Linked DNA regions of Tamandua tetradactyla. The protein of the gene in region 1 interacts with the protein of each later gene in a pairwise test. Links are inferred from orthologs where the notes say so. Each region holds a gene or a part of one and is shown in the gene's direction. Other genes may lie near its edges.

What was found. The genes of interacting proteins can lie anywhere in the genome.
Region 2: the proteins of PLD1 (region 1) and PEA15 interact in a two-hybrid assay, tested with the Homo sapiens proteins (2 studies listed by BioGRID). The link is inferred for Tamandua tetradactyla from reciprocal best matches to the Homo sapiens genes PLD1 and PEA15.

The regions. Positions count from the first base shown.
Region 1 is NC_135331.1:69,252,647-69,259,740, reverse strand, and holds the start of PLD1 (phospholipase D1), read left to right. Parts: upstream 1-4,001; 5' UTR 4,002-4,103; intron 4,104-7,094. UniProt on the Homo sapiens protein: Function as phospholipase selective for phosphatidylcholine. Implicated as a critical step in numerous cellular pathways, including signal transduction, membrane trafficking, and the regulation of mitosis.
Region 2 is NC_135330.1:13,265,679-13,272,620, forward strand, and holds the start of PEA15 (astrocytic phosphoprotein PEA-15), read left to right. Parts: upstream 1-3,865; 5' UTR 3,866-4,012; intron 4,013-6,942. Other genes in the region: CASQ1 (calsequestrin-1), read left to right, coding at 116-259. UniProt on the Homo sapiens protein: Blocks Ras-mediated inhibition of integrin activation and modulates the ERK MAP kinase cascade. Inhibits RPS6KA3 activities by retaining it in the cytoplasm. Inhibits both TNFRSF6- and TNFRSF1A-mediated CASP8 activity and apoptosis.

The DNA.
Region 1 (7,094 bases):
AGCTCTGCTGTGCATGGGACACAGTCGTCCTGAACAATGAAGAGTTGTCCCTGGTCCCAGAAAACTTTCAAAGGTCTTACCAGGCATTCATGTAAGTGAAAAACCTGCTGATTCTCTGAGCCCAGAACTTAACAATCTTTTTCATATAAACCACAAATATTTTGGCATATTTTTAATATACACTGCATTTTAAGGGAACACAAACAGTTTACAAATCGAGGGAAAATTGTACTTTGGAACTTTACTAAGCATTGTTCATGTAAAGTTAATTTTTGGAAAATCATGCAGCGAATGGCGACATCTTTTTTAGTCTGCAGTTGTAACTGTCACATTCAAGCGTCAGTATAGAGAAATGGTGGCGACTTGCTACTTAAAGCAGTGGTGTAGAAAATAAACAGGTGAAAACTGTTATACTTCTTGCAAATAAAAACACATTAATTATAAGTCATGCAAACATCTGATTCCTCCATAATGTCTTCTAGAGCGGTCTGTTTGAGCATGTTAGGTTTGGAGAGATATTCTACTATAAATTACTTTCTTTTTGTTCTCCTTTATTGATTGTTAGTTCACTGTATATTTTTGCAATGTTGAATTAACTCCATGTCAAGATAGTAAAGGCTTAGGGTTAAACAGTAAAGTATGTAGCTCTGGTAGGGCTGCACAGAGGAAAGGCGTGTGGAAGGAGAGCAACATTCCCAACAGTATATGATTTTCAAAATAGAAGCAATGTTTTGTGGAAAACTGTGTCATTGTAACTACTGAGGGAACAGCTACTTTAGCTAGAACAAAATATGGATTCTGGGCTAAGGGGACAGAGTGATGACCACCAATGGCATTTATTTACTGCATCATTCAAAGGCAAGAAACTCATGCAGCAAAGAAGTTTAAGCTACTCATGCACAAATTGCCAGAGGATGGCAGCGACGTAGATGACATTATAAAAGCCAGACCTTTAACCTACTGTAAACTATTTATGGTTCTTTGTAATGAGATGATGAGTGATCATGGAAACATTTTGTACTATGGACAAAGTTGCTGCTTAGGTCATGGTAGAGTACATTTCAGACTTGTCAAACTTAGAGGAACTACTAATTCTTATTTTCTAAAAAGGCTGTGTTCTTAATCCTGTGTTTTCTATAGTAAGTGCCTCTCAATTCTATGATAGTAGAGTTTTTGTTTTTTTAATGAATACTGCTACAGCCACTTCTGCCTTTGCTCCATGAGCCCAAATCCAAACCTGGCAGGGCCCCTTGCGCTGTGAGAGTCAGCCCATGGAGCTAGACTATAAGGGGGATAGGATGGTGATGGCAATATAGTGGACAGATCTGCCTTTTGGCTTGGATAGTGCAGCCCCAAATTGTCTTTCTGCCAAGGATATGCACAGTTGGGAAGAAGTAATTCTCTATAAGAAAATGAAACTATCAGAAAAGATGGTGGATGCTGGGCATCCCAAAAGGACGGAGGTCATCTGGACAGTATAGAAACAGAATAAGTACCACAAGGGAAAATCTTGGGGAGCACATCGGTATGCAAACTTTGCAGAGTAGTTTTGTTTTTATTAAAAGCATTAATGCAAATTAATAGGAAGAACAATAATATTACCATAGGGAAAAAAACAGGCAACAGACATGAATAGGTCATTCTCAATGATACAAATAACCAATAAACACGAAGCAAACTGTGTTCAGCATTACTGATAATCAAAGAAATGCTGATTAAAGCAAGATGTTATATTGATCCATCACATTTTCAAGTTTACAAGCAAGATAAGACTCACAGAACCTCAAAAACATTTATGAATGTAGATCTAGTTTTCCACACTCAGGAATCTATCCTAAAGAACCTAGAGACTCAACAAAGACCGATATCCATAGTGCTCGTTCCAACATGATCTCCAAACTTCAGAAATGTCTGAAGACATTCTAAAAGGGATAAATAGATGAACAGATACATAAGTGATTGGAATATTCCACAACCATTCAAAATTATATTTTTAAAGAAAATTTAATGATGGCAAAAATGCTCATTGCGCACACACACACACACACATATATTCAGTGAAATAAGTAGGATTCTAAACTGTACAACATGATGTTAATTTTACATAAGCCTTTATTAATGTATATAAAAAATAAAAAAGAAATATATCAAAATATTAACAATGGGTGTGTGTGTAATATTATAGGTGATTTTGTTTTTCTATGATCTCCAAGTTTTTTTTCAGTGAACATCTGTTACTTTTATTCTCAGAGAAAAGGAGAAAAATTAAGATGATTTTAATATGTCTGATAAAAAAGTCAAATGCATATCTAGCTAGATATATAACAGGATTTCTTAGTGACTCTTTTTTTTGACATCTTTGAATGTGTGAAGGATTGGGGGGAAAAATCCCCAGCAAATACCTGAGGAATATAAAAATAATTACATACAGAATCATACTACTATAAAACTTACCTTTGGCAATCCATAGCTCAAGTTCATCTCTAAACAACATATAGCATGTTTCTATTTTATTCTAGTCAGAAAGCCAGAGATTAAATTTGGGGGGCTTTTAAATAATTTTATTTCTAGTTACATTTAATAGAAAACCTATTGTTTGTAGGTTTGTGCCAAATGTTTATTTTAAATGATGATACTTAGGAATTTGGGATGCAATTTTATAGCATGCTGCTTCTCAACCATAAGTGTTATAATTTCTAAGGACAAGCTCCAAGAGTATAGTCACTTGTGTGAATAATACATATCAAATCATCTGTGACTAATAAAACTTGAGAAGGAAGGGGAGGAAAGAGGGTTTTCAGGCTTTCAATAACATGCTTGTCTTAAACTTGCCAAACTCCTCTTAGGCAATGTTCTGTTTGCTCAGAGGGCCATGTGCTTAATTGTAAAAATCTGTCAGTATCATAAGATTCAAAAGACATCAATCATCTCTTTCAGCAAGGAAAGGGTGACAAGGCTGTATGACTCTTCCCTCATTAGGAAAAGATGTGCTCAAGGGAGAAAAATGTAGTCCAGGGAGGGCTGAGCAACCATAGATTACAGAAAAAGGAGTTCCAGACGATAATTTCAGCCTGTCTGTCTACTTTGGGCTGGATTATTATGTTTTTCATTTCATGTTGCTCCATGTGCAATAAGACCTTGTGTATCTCTGACAGTCTGGGCTGTGTAATATCCACTAAACCCGTTAGAAGTGCCATCGGTATGAAATTTGGGGTATGTGGAGACGATTGCTTCCTTCAGCCTTGGCAGGAGGCAGTACTGTGTAATAAGCTAGGGGCTGGCCTATATTCAAAAAACATATCCCCAAAGGGCTGCTGTTCAAGCCAACTGGTTCTCTTTTTCATAAAACTCTATTTTAAGTGTACTGAAAATGGCAAAGATTGCTGGATTTGGAGCGTTCCACGGGTGGGATGAGAATTTTCCATATTTCACTCCCAATTTCTGAATTATACTGAGCTCGGGCTTTAGAGACATCAAAACACAAATTCCAGTCTCCTGCGTTTTAAGGTGGGCCGTTCAGGGAGTTGCAAGAAGGTTTAGAGGTGAGGCCAGAAAGCTCCTACTTCTGAATTGTATCACCTCAGGCAAGTTATTTCAACTTTTTTGGGCCGCTATTTCTTTATTTGTATGACAGGGCCTCGAGTGGCTACCAGCTGCAGTGGACCAGATGGATCATGTAGGCGAAGCTCCTAGAACGATGCCCGGGCACGTGGGGACTCAAGAGAACCCGAAACGATAACAATGGCTAGGGAACATTCCTTAGGCTGATGGGGTCGGGTTATGAAACTCCGGGAAAAAGAGAGAATAAAAAAACGGGGACAAGGAGAGACGCCTAGTGGCCGGGGCCTTCCTGCCCCGCCGTGGCGGCCAGTGGCAGCCACGACGCGCCCGGCACCCGGCACCGCCTCGCTCCACCCCTGCGAAGCCGGGGCGCAGCCTGGAGGCCAGTTCCGGGCGGCGCAGGGCGCGGGGCCCCTTCCAGCACCCCTGCTTTTTCTCTGCTACCCGCCCCCCCCCCCGGTCGCTCCAGCTGCGCCGGCTGGGCCCGAGCCCCGTAGTCCGCGGAGGCCGTGCAGGTGCCCGCTGCCGCCCTGGCGAGGCAGGTAAGAGACGCAGCGCGCCCCAGGCTCTCGGGGCTCCGGGGAGCCTGGTTCCCGCCGCCCTGGCGCTCCGGCCCTCCTCCCGGGCGGCTGGCCGCTCCCCGCCCAACTTGGACGGGACCTTGGCAGCTGCGTATGCGGCAGGCGCCAGCGCCGCTGGGGCCTGGCGCGATCGCGCCTCCTCGGGGCCCCCGGGGGCCTCCTGGGCACGCCTTTGGGCCCACGTCCTTCAGCGCCGACAACTTGGGCGCGCAGCTTTGCCGAGGCGCGCGACTGCCCGAAGCTCGGAGCTGCGCTGGGGCCCTGGGGTGCAGCCTGTCCGGTGGCCCCAGGCCATCTCGCGCGACCCCGGGTCGCGCCGGGCCGCGCCGACACAGCCTCTGCGTGCGCTCTGGGCTGGCCGGGATGGCGGTCGCGCTGGGACCAGCATCCCGAACCGACCAGGAAGTGCCACGTGCCGAGGGTGGGAGTTGGCCAGGTGCATGGTCCGGGGCAGGTGGTCACACAGCCGCTCCCACGGGACCCGCGATGGGATGACACCGAGGCTGGGGCAGGCGCGGAGGACCTGGGGCCCCGCGTGTGTTCTAGGGCTTGTTCTCCTCGCTCCGGGTTCGAGATATTTGCAACACTCTTCTCGGATCCAGGAGCGCGGTTCCCCGCGACTTCCACTGGATTTTGAGAAGCCCTTCAGAGCCGCCCTGGTAGAATCAGTCCAGCTCTACTGCCACGCCTGCGTTTACTTCTCCTAATCTTGGGCTGTTGGGTTCTTTTTACTTCCTCTGTAAAGCATTAAATGCAAGTGGATTCCGAAGTAACGCAGGCGTTGCTGCATTTGATCATCTTTTCTTCTCTCCGCAGAGTGCGGAGTTCCGTTAACTTTATCAGCCAGGCCTGCCAATTTCAGTTGAGATAACCCAGACTTCCGTGGTGTGTTAAATGGGGTTTTAACTATGGGTGGTGCACTTAAAACTTAAAGGAATGAAAAGAATGCTTCCGTGTGAACTGTGAAAAGATGCCACCTTTACATCCTGCGTATTTTAACAAGAATCTAATTCAGGATTAAATGTTTTGTAGCATATACACAAATGAATTTGCACAGTCTTTTAGCCTGAATTTGTACTCAGCCTGTAAGTGTTGTTTGGTGATCCTTTAACTTATTGTGTGAACTCCCAGCCTGACTTCTCAGGATGCAGTACAATTTAGAATTCCTATAAAAAGCATGAGTAGTTAAGGCTTTTGGGAAAATGTGTTTTTAGCATGCTTGTCCCTGATGTCAGAATATTTATGAACAGTGATCCCTGCTGTATAACATACATTTAGGCTTATTGATTCACGACCTTGACGGTGGGAAACTGTGCTTGTTGGAGAAGTCTCTGATTACTTACTGGGTGTTTCTTAATATAAAATGGTGGTTAAAAAGTTTATTTACCTTTAACTCTATAGGGTGTTAATGATAGCTTTCTTTTTCTCATTAAGCAAGGCATGAGTTTTTTTCATAGCTTTAGAGAAATATACTTTTAAGAGGAAAGGTGGAAATCCATGCCTAAACTACATCTATTAAGTCTTTTCTTCATCAGGGAAGGTCTAATAAATTACTATCTGAGGATAAGCTTGTAACTATTTAAATGTGGCTATAAGGTTATTGTTAAGTAATAAAGAGGGAGGAATAGATAAAGGAGTTATTGTTGGATGGTTTCCTTCTCTGAATATCTAACAGAAAGATAAAATAGTCAATTTTGTCTCCCTTTGCAGTGCATCGCATCTGTCTAAATTAAGCTCGAGCTCAGTTGCTTAGTAACTAAAAGCAGTTTTGATCAAGCTAGCTTCTGGGTGTAGTAATTTCCTGGCCACTCCAGGTGTTTACAAAAGTTGGATGCTATAGGACCAAGCATCGAAGAAATGGCTCTTTAAACTTGCAGTTAGGCTGACTCATAGTGTCAAGAGAGAAGCAGAAGTTGAATAAGGCCTGGTTTTCTGATTACAAAACTTTAGGTCTTAGCACCACAAAGCTACATTTATTCCCCTGCCAGAAAATGGCTAAATGTTGTTGCAGGGTTAAAATAGGAAACCCATAACTTGAATTTCTCATACATCTTTGACATTTCTAATTAGAAGGGAATCATGCAAATCATTGTATCATAGCTACAATGGGAATGCATTCTGATGTGTTCATTTCCCTGAATTCAATGTAAAATTCTGGAGTCCAGATGTTTTAGTGTTGGATTATTAAACAACAGTATATGTTATGTAAGTGTTTCATAGCATCACGATTGTTTTTCTTTCTGTTGTGAACCTTTCTTAAGTTTTAAATGTATTGAATAAACATTTTAGTGCCAGTATTAAATGATTTGTTTATTCAGTAAACACTTATGTGTTGCTTACTTTACGCCAGGCACTCTTCTAAGCTTTTACAAATTTGAATACATTTAATCCTCAAAACAACTCTGTGAAGTAGCTAATCTCATTACGCCCATTTAACAGACCCAGAAAGACATCATTGAGATTTCCCCCTCTTCTCTGCCAACAAATGAATTGTTTTCGGATTTTTATTTTCCTGGTCTTGTCCTCTTCTTGAGGCGTAAATAATTTAACATAATTACAAACATAATGCAACTCAGTCAGTTCCACTCCCTCACTTTTCAGAAAAGGAAAACTAAGGTGGAAAGTGGTTCTGTGCAGGGGTGGAGAGGCTGGGATAGGGTCCTGGAGACCCTCTGCTGACTCAGGTGTTAACTGGTCGTTGTGGGAAGCTGGGGAGGGGGGACTTGGGAGGGCTGGGAGGTCAGTCTGTTTTTTGGGGGTGGGTGTATTCACGGACTGTGAAGAAAGGGTTTCAATCTTTTAATAATCAACATGGCCAAAGCAGATCCAACTGGCTACATAAAGACTGTGTTATGTCAGTGGCCAACAGAGCAGAAGTTAGTGGCTGTTTAGGATTCCAGAATCCCAAATTCCTTCCCCTTTTGCTGCTAATGCCTGTGACCCTGGGCTCAC
Region 2 (6,942 bases), on another chromosome or scaffold:
GGAAGGGACAAGACATATAGGGAAGGATAGAGTCCAATAAGTAGGAGGACAGGCCAAAAGACCTCATGCTCAGCCTTCTGTCCCCCTTCTGTCCCCTGTCCACGCCATCTCCTAGGCGGACAGCATATGGATGGAGATGGACAATGAGGAAGACCTGCCTTCTGCTGAGGAGCTGGAGGAATGGCTGGAAGATGTGCTGGAGGGTGAAATCAACACAGAGGACGACGATGACGACGACGATGACGACGACGATGACTAGTCAGTTGCTGTGGCAACCATGTTCCAGGCCCACCTGCTCTTCTCATGCTCCCTCCTGCCTTCCTTGTCCTTTCCTTGAGCTCCTCCAGGGACACAAGACCATTCTCTGCATAAGGCCCACTGGGTCTATATGTTGGGTGCAGAGACAATGACTCCCCATATCTGTTGAAGAAAGGAGCTACTTTTCCCTAGACATCAGCCAAGTCCTCTCATCCAAATTCTGTTTCTTATTTCATAACTTTACTTGTATCTACTCTTCGTTTCTTCCATCGCACCCTATACTTTTTCTTGTGGTTTTCCCAAGAGAACCACAAAGCTACAGGCCCCCCATCTCTCTCCTGTTCCCTTCATCTATGCACACCCTTTCCCAACTCTCTCAGATCCTATATCCTTCTGACTGTCTTATTCCTAGCCAGGAGGAAGGGAAGGTATTGTGGGGCGGTCTCTCAGCAATCTCTTGTTAATGTATTTGGGTCAAATGAGAGCCCTCAATAAAAAGATCTGGGGCAGCATAAGCAAGTGTCTGCTGGTGAAGTCTCACCCCTGTGGCAGGAGGGAGGAGGCCAAAGGACAAGATTTGAGTGTGGGTGCCTTGTTAGGGATGAGCTATGGGACTGCACTAGGAGGGGGATGGGGCTCCCTCCAAGCAGTCAGCCCAAAGAAGCCTGTATTATTTATCCATTTCAAGTCAACAAGGCTTTTCTGAACACATGGTGTTTGTCCAGTGCAGCGGTTAGGCTTAGGGAGAACAGAGAGTGCCAGGCCTGTCCCTGCTCTTGAGCTGGTTAGCTTCACTGGAAAGTCAAGACAAGCACACTAAACAACTGAAGAAAAATACAAAGCAGTATGTAATTAAGTGATTACGTGCTGCTTGATTGCACCCTCCCTGAAGCTCTTTTTCAAACTTTAAGACAGATCCCAAATAATACTTCCTGGATAAGGCCTTCCCAGAGCTTGCCCCATTCCTGTAGCTCCCTCCATTGGGTCCCATGGCACTTTTGAGGCATACCTCTATTCTAATACTTGGCACAATATATTACAGGTCTTCATTCACATGTCTGTCTTCCCCACTAGATTGTGAATCCCTTGAAAATAGGGACCCAGGCTTCTTCTCTGCATCCACGGGGTCTGACATACAAAAATTCCCAATAAATGTTTCTTAAAAGAAGGAACAAATGGAAGAACAGAATGCACTCAGAAGAAAGAGATTGGAGAGTGTTGGATGTCTTCATAAAGGACCTAGGCCATAAATGAGTAGTGGGATTCGACTAGGGACGTAGGAGTTCAGGAGGGAACATTTTAGTTAATGGAAACATCAAAAGTACTGGCAGGATGTGTTTGTCATACTGGTGGCACGGATGAGACGAGAGACGATAAGAGACGTTTAAATGGTGGCAGTGAGTTTGGGTGGGTAAATAGGGCTGGGTTATGGAGGTGTTTAAATGTAATCCTGTTAGCTGGTGGGAAAGGCAAAATTTAATCTAGCGGTAATAACCAGAGAGATATAGAGAGGTGAGATGATAGAGATACCAAAGGCAGGGGGTCCAACTCTTGTAATAAGAGACTGTTATAATAATCAGGAGGTTGGGTGAACAAGGAACTTGGCGACAGGAATGGAGAGGAGATACATTGGGTTTTGTAGAATGGGGATCCCCCAGACTTGGGCCCTGCTAGAGATCCTGGCAGGAAGGACCCACGTTCTCTCCGAGAGGGTAAAGCGTAAGGGAGTTAGGAGGGAAAAACCAAGTAGCTAAACCTACAAGCCTGTAAATAATCGACATTACATTTTTTTCGTGGATCAGGTATAAGGGTGATTTTTAAGTATGGGGAGGATGTGATCTGAAGTTAGAAAAGTTCCTATTCTCCACAGACAAATTCAGGAAGTGTTCCTTAGAGAAGATGGCAGGAGCATAGAGAGTAGAAACCATATATTCATCCAACTTGTACGCATTTAATAAAGATTTGCTAAATAGGACGGGCACTCGGCTAAGACAATAATATTACGGAGCTTACTGTCTAACATAGGTTAGTGGAAGCCCTGGGACTAAATAACAGGTCCCATTTTTAGGTACCCACCTGTCCCAGTTCCTAGAGATTTCTTATCGTTTCTAAATCTCAGGAGAGCCTTGGAAGATGGCCTTCCTGTCCCCTTCTTACCGGGAGCACCTGAGGCTTAGAGCCATAAACTGTTCAAAGAAGGAGTGGAGCTGGCATGAATCCCAAGTCTCCTGTAGCACATCGTGGCCTCCAGAAGACTGGAACTTTTCCCTGACAAACTGCATGACAGTAGATCAGTCATTTGGCTTTTCTGAGCTCCAAAGATGGATCAACGAAATAGGTGTTGGCCCCAACAACAGGCTGTTGTGAGGAGCAAAGGAGTTGTACAACGAAGGCAAATACTGAGGGTGTGTTGTTCTCAAAGCGGCAGTGATAGCAGGGCCTGGAAATGAGGCTGGTGAAGAGCAAAGAGAAGGGCTGTGAAACCCGAAGCAAGCAGAGCTCAGGACTCAACTAGAGTCCGTGTAGACCCAAGAAAGGAGGTGCCCATTCCAGGGCTGTGAAACCCGAAGCAAGCAGAGTTCAGGACTCAGCTAGAGTCCATGTAGACCCAAGAAAGGAGGTGCCCATTCCAGGGCTCCTAAGGGATCTCTTGCCTTCCAGGGCGGCACTGAACACTGCTGGTACTCAGACCCAGCTGTTTCCAGGATGGCCTCCCTCTCCCCAGGGCCAGACCTGCCCAGCTGAGAGACCCCTTCAGGCTGGTGATGGGGTGAAAAATAAATGCTTCCCCAATTCTTCCTTCCCTCTTTCAGTCTGGTTGAGAATTTGGGGGAGGAAAGTCCCTGGGGTGGAGCGGAAGTGAGAGAAGCCATGCTAGGCCTAGGCAGAGGGTCAGAGCTGGGAGACAGAGCAAAGTGTGGCTTTGCAGGTTGTCTATATTTGCATGCTGAGCTCACTGCTGCTTTTTTTTCTCCCCAGAAAACAAAATTACATCACGGGGCAGTGGGGGGAGGGGAGCTGGGATAGGGGTATATGTGGGGAAGGTGAGAGGGGCAGAAGGGGGCTGCGGGCTTCACCCCAAGAGTAAAACTACACAGAAGGCCTGAAGAGAGAAGATCCTGGGACCCAGGTCAAGTGAAGGAGGATCCCGCCTTCTTCTCACCCGTATTTCAATGGAGAGAAGTCATTTACTACCGCTCCCCTGACCTATAAGGAGGGAACTACCTGGTGCGGAGAGGGGCTTTTCCAAATATCCAATCCGGAGACCAAAGGGCTTTCCAAGACCCTCAGCCCTTCCTCAACTTGCTCAGCGTCTCCTAAGGTCCCAGCAACTGTGGTCATCGAAAGGTCAAAGGGGGCGGAGGGCATCCCACTGGGAAAGAATTAAATCTGAGAAGTTGAGGAGGAAGAGGCATCGGCCGCAATCCGACCCTCCCCCAATTCTGCCCCTAAGCCTTCCAGAACCCCTGCCCCTCTCTCCCCCGCCCCCCTCTGCTTCCCCTCCCCCCAGCCTCCCCCACTCCCGCCGCTCCCCGCCCCCCCGCCCCTCCCCGGCTCTGACATCACCGGCCAGCCGGGTGGGGTGAGGCGGCGCTGGGCTCGAGCTCGGGCTCGGCGAGCGGAAGAGGCGGCGGCGGCAGCAGAAGCAGCGGCGGCGGCGGCGGCGGCGGGAGCCGAGGAGGAGGCTCCGGACTCTGGCCAGGAACCTGGGGACCCGGGCGTGCCCGCTCCCTGAGCGCTCAGCCCCGAGGCGGTGAGAGGGGCGGGGAGGGGGCGGATTTGGGATCTGGCCTGGGAGGGAAGCCGATCCGGGACGCCGAGGGCCAAATTGGAAGCGTGGGGTCCCCCGAGGGGTCCGGCTGTGTCAGGCCCCAAAGCCCGCTCTGTCGGTGCGTGCTGAGCGCCGTGTGTTTCGGAGGTGGTGCGGCGTCGGCCGCCCATTCCACGCGGACCTGCAGTTTGGGAGTCCGGCCGGGGCCTGGGAATTGGGATGGAGCCTGCTTCCCGCCCAGCCGGCTCTGCCGGGCCAGCTCCCGCCCCTCCTTCCCTTTCTCTGGCTTCGGACTCGCCTCCGCTGGCCATCTCCTGGCCCAGCCCTGCCTTAGTTCCCGTGAGCAGTGTTCCCTGCTCCAAGGGCTCACAGCCTCGATGGCACCATGTGTCCTCATCCTTAGCCCACTGAACCCGGGTAAGAGGAGAGAGAGGCAAAGGCTTGTCCCAGAGTGGAGGAAGGAGCTGGGGATGTAAAGGAGTGAAGTTTCGCTCATAAAACCCCTAATTAATTTCATATAATGTGTGTCAAAACTGACAGGAACACACACACACACATCTACAAGAGACACACCAGCACTCAATGACACACACCCATGTGACTCTTACACAGTGTCTCGCGCACACACCATATCACAAACATCTCCGCACTACACATCCAAACCCCCACCACACCCCCCACTGCTTCTCATGTGCAAGTATCCTGGATGAGGGGCTGCAAAAACCCCAGTCCAACAGGAGAGTTGAGAGGGCGGAAGGGGGCACTGTCCCCAAGTCCATCCTAATTTCCTGAGCAGCCTGCCCCAGCCCTGGTCTTCAGAATCGCCTCCTTTTAAGAGAATGTCTTGGTCTCACTTCTCCTAAAGCACAGGGAGACCAGATCTAGAGGGTGAGTGAGCAGGAAGGGTAGAGGCTGCTGGTGGCCTTTCCTGCTGGGTCCAGTTAGTTTAGGGTGCTAGGAGTGGCTAGTTTCTGGGCATCAGGGTGGCCCGGGGATGGAGGAGGTGGTGGAAGAAAGGAAGAGGGAGAAAAAGAAAGAAGGAATATGAGTCAGCCAGGGATGGAGCCCAAGTAAGAAAGAGAATGAGAGGAATGTGTGTGACGGGGGTGGGGGGGTGGGGGGGGGGGATGGAGACACATCAAGGGAGGGACCAAGAGCCAGAGAGGGACAGAGACACAGTTAGGGAGCCAGAGAGGGGGAGGAAAGTGAGAGACAGAGAGGGTCAGAAGAGTGGGAAGATACTGGAGAATGGAGTACAAGCAGTGCAGAAATTGGGGAAGAGAGCAGGATGGTGGTAAGCCCAAAGGGGGGGCGGGGCGGGGGAATGCACCGAATTTGTGTATCTGGTGTGTTTGGACCCCCAGGCTGTCAGAACCATAATCGTTTTAATTGCTGTCCTCTTGGTGGTAAAACATTCCGTTAGGGAAATTGCCAGCAATGCCCTAGGCTGCTGGCTTCCCTGGTTGCATTCTTCCTCCTTCTGTGACACCTGTGCCCCTCTAGTGTGCATGTATTGTCATGCCATCCCTTCAGTCTCTCACGCAGATCCTCACATACAATATCATAATAGACATCGCCACCAAGCTGTATACAGCCAGTCGCTGATCTCCAGGCCCTCCTCCACAAATTTACTCTATCTCCTTGCCAAGGAGTCAGAGAGAAAGCCTGAAAGGCCTGAAAACCCACTGAAAAGAAGAGAGGAAAAGAGGCTAGGGGGAGGGGAAGTGGATGGAAGAGACCAGGAGATGGAAGAGTGAGGCGGAAATAGGGACAGGGAAAGACATAATCCAATGAGCAGAGACAGATGGGGTTAGAGAAAGGCACAGCCCCTTCTCCCCACTCCACACTGTCAGCAAGCCTCTTCCACTTGGCCCGGTCCAATGCCAAGTATCTCCTGGGTCCCCATCTTGGTTCTGGCCTTTCTCCTTTGACTAAAGGCTGAAGGCTTAGCCCTTAACCCTGTGCTCAGGGATGACCCATTTGTCTTTTTGGACAGAACTGAACATTTTTGGGCCAGTTGTCCTTCCTCCTTAGGCCGGGCTGACCCTAGAGCCTTAGAACCCTCCTCTTCCTTTGGTACAGGAATAAAGGCCCCCAAAGCTGGAGAAAAGCTAAGGGAAGAGATCAATTGAGTATGGTATTAAAGGAATAATTTCATAGGACTACTAGAATGTGGGGGCCCAGAGAGAATTTCTGGGTGGCTGAAAAATAGGGTGGCTGGAACCCTACTCCCCTCTCTTTCTTCCCCCCTGCCTCTGCTTGATCACCCCCTGCACCCTTCCATTCCAAGTTGTAAAAGACTTATAGCCTGGGAGCCCCTCCTGCTCACTCTAGGGACTTCCAGCTCCTTGCAGCTGTGTGGGGATGGCCCCTCCCCTCAGCCTTAGGCAGCTGCAGCAGATGTGTAGAAAGGAGGGGCAGCAGCATCTAATCCTCATGCTTCCTTCTTAAATTTCCTGGTGATTTAGAACTAAATCCTAGGTAGAGGGAACTTCTAGAGCATTTCTTTGGGCCTGGGCCTTTAAAGGGGGTAAAAGGGGCATTATCAAGGTGGAGGACCTGAGGATTTAAGGGGTCTCTGGCTCCACTGCTCATTCACATGGGGAACCTACTCTCCCCTCAAACATGCCCCCCTCAGCATGGTTTTGGGGCTTGCCTGCCTGGTGAAGAAAATGAGAAACCACAATGATTAACCTCTGAGAATTAATTATCTCTGTTGTTTCTGACCTCATGAAGGAGTGTGACCCCCAGGGCAGGCACAACCTGGTCCCTTGTATAGATGAACATTCTAGGCACCTCCTTCCCCACTAAAAAACCCATATCGGGAGGGAATGCCCCAGCAGTTCTTAAACAAGCTACAGTGAAGTAAGGTCAAAATGCACATAAATTCTTTTGGTGCTACCACCTCCTCC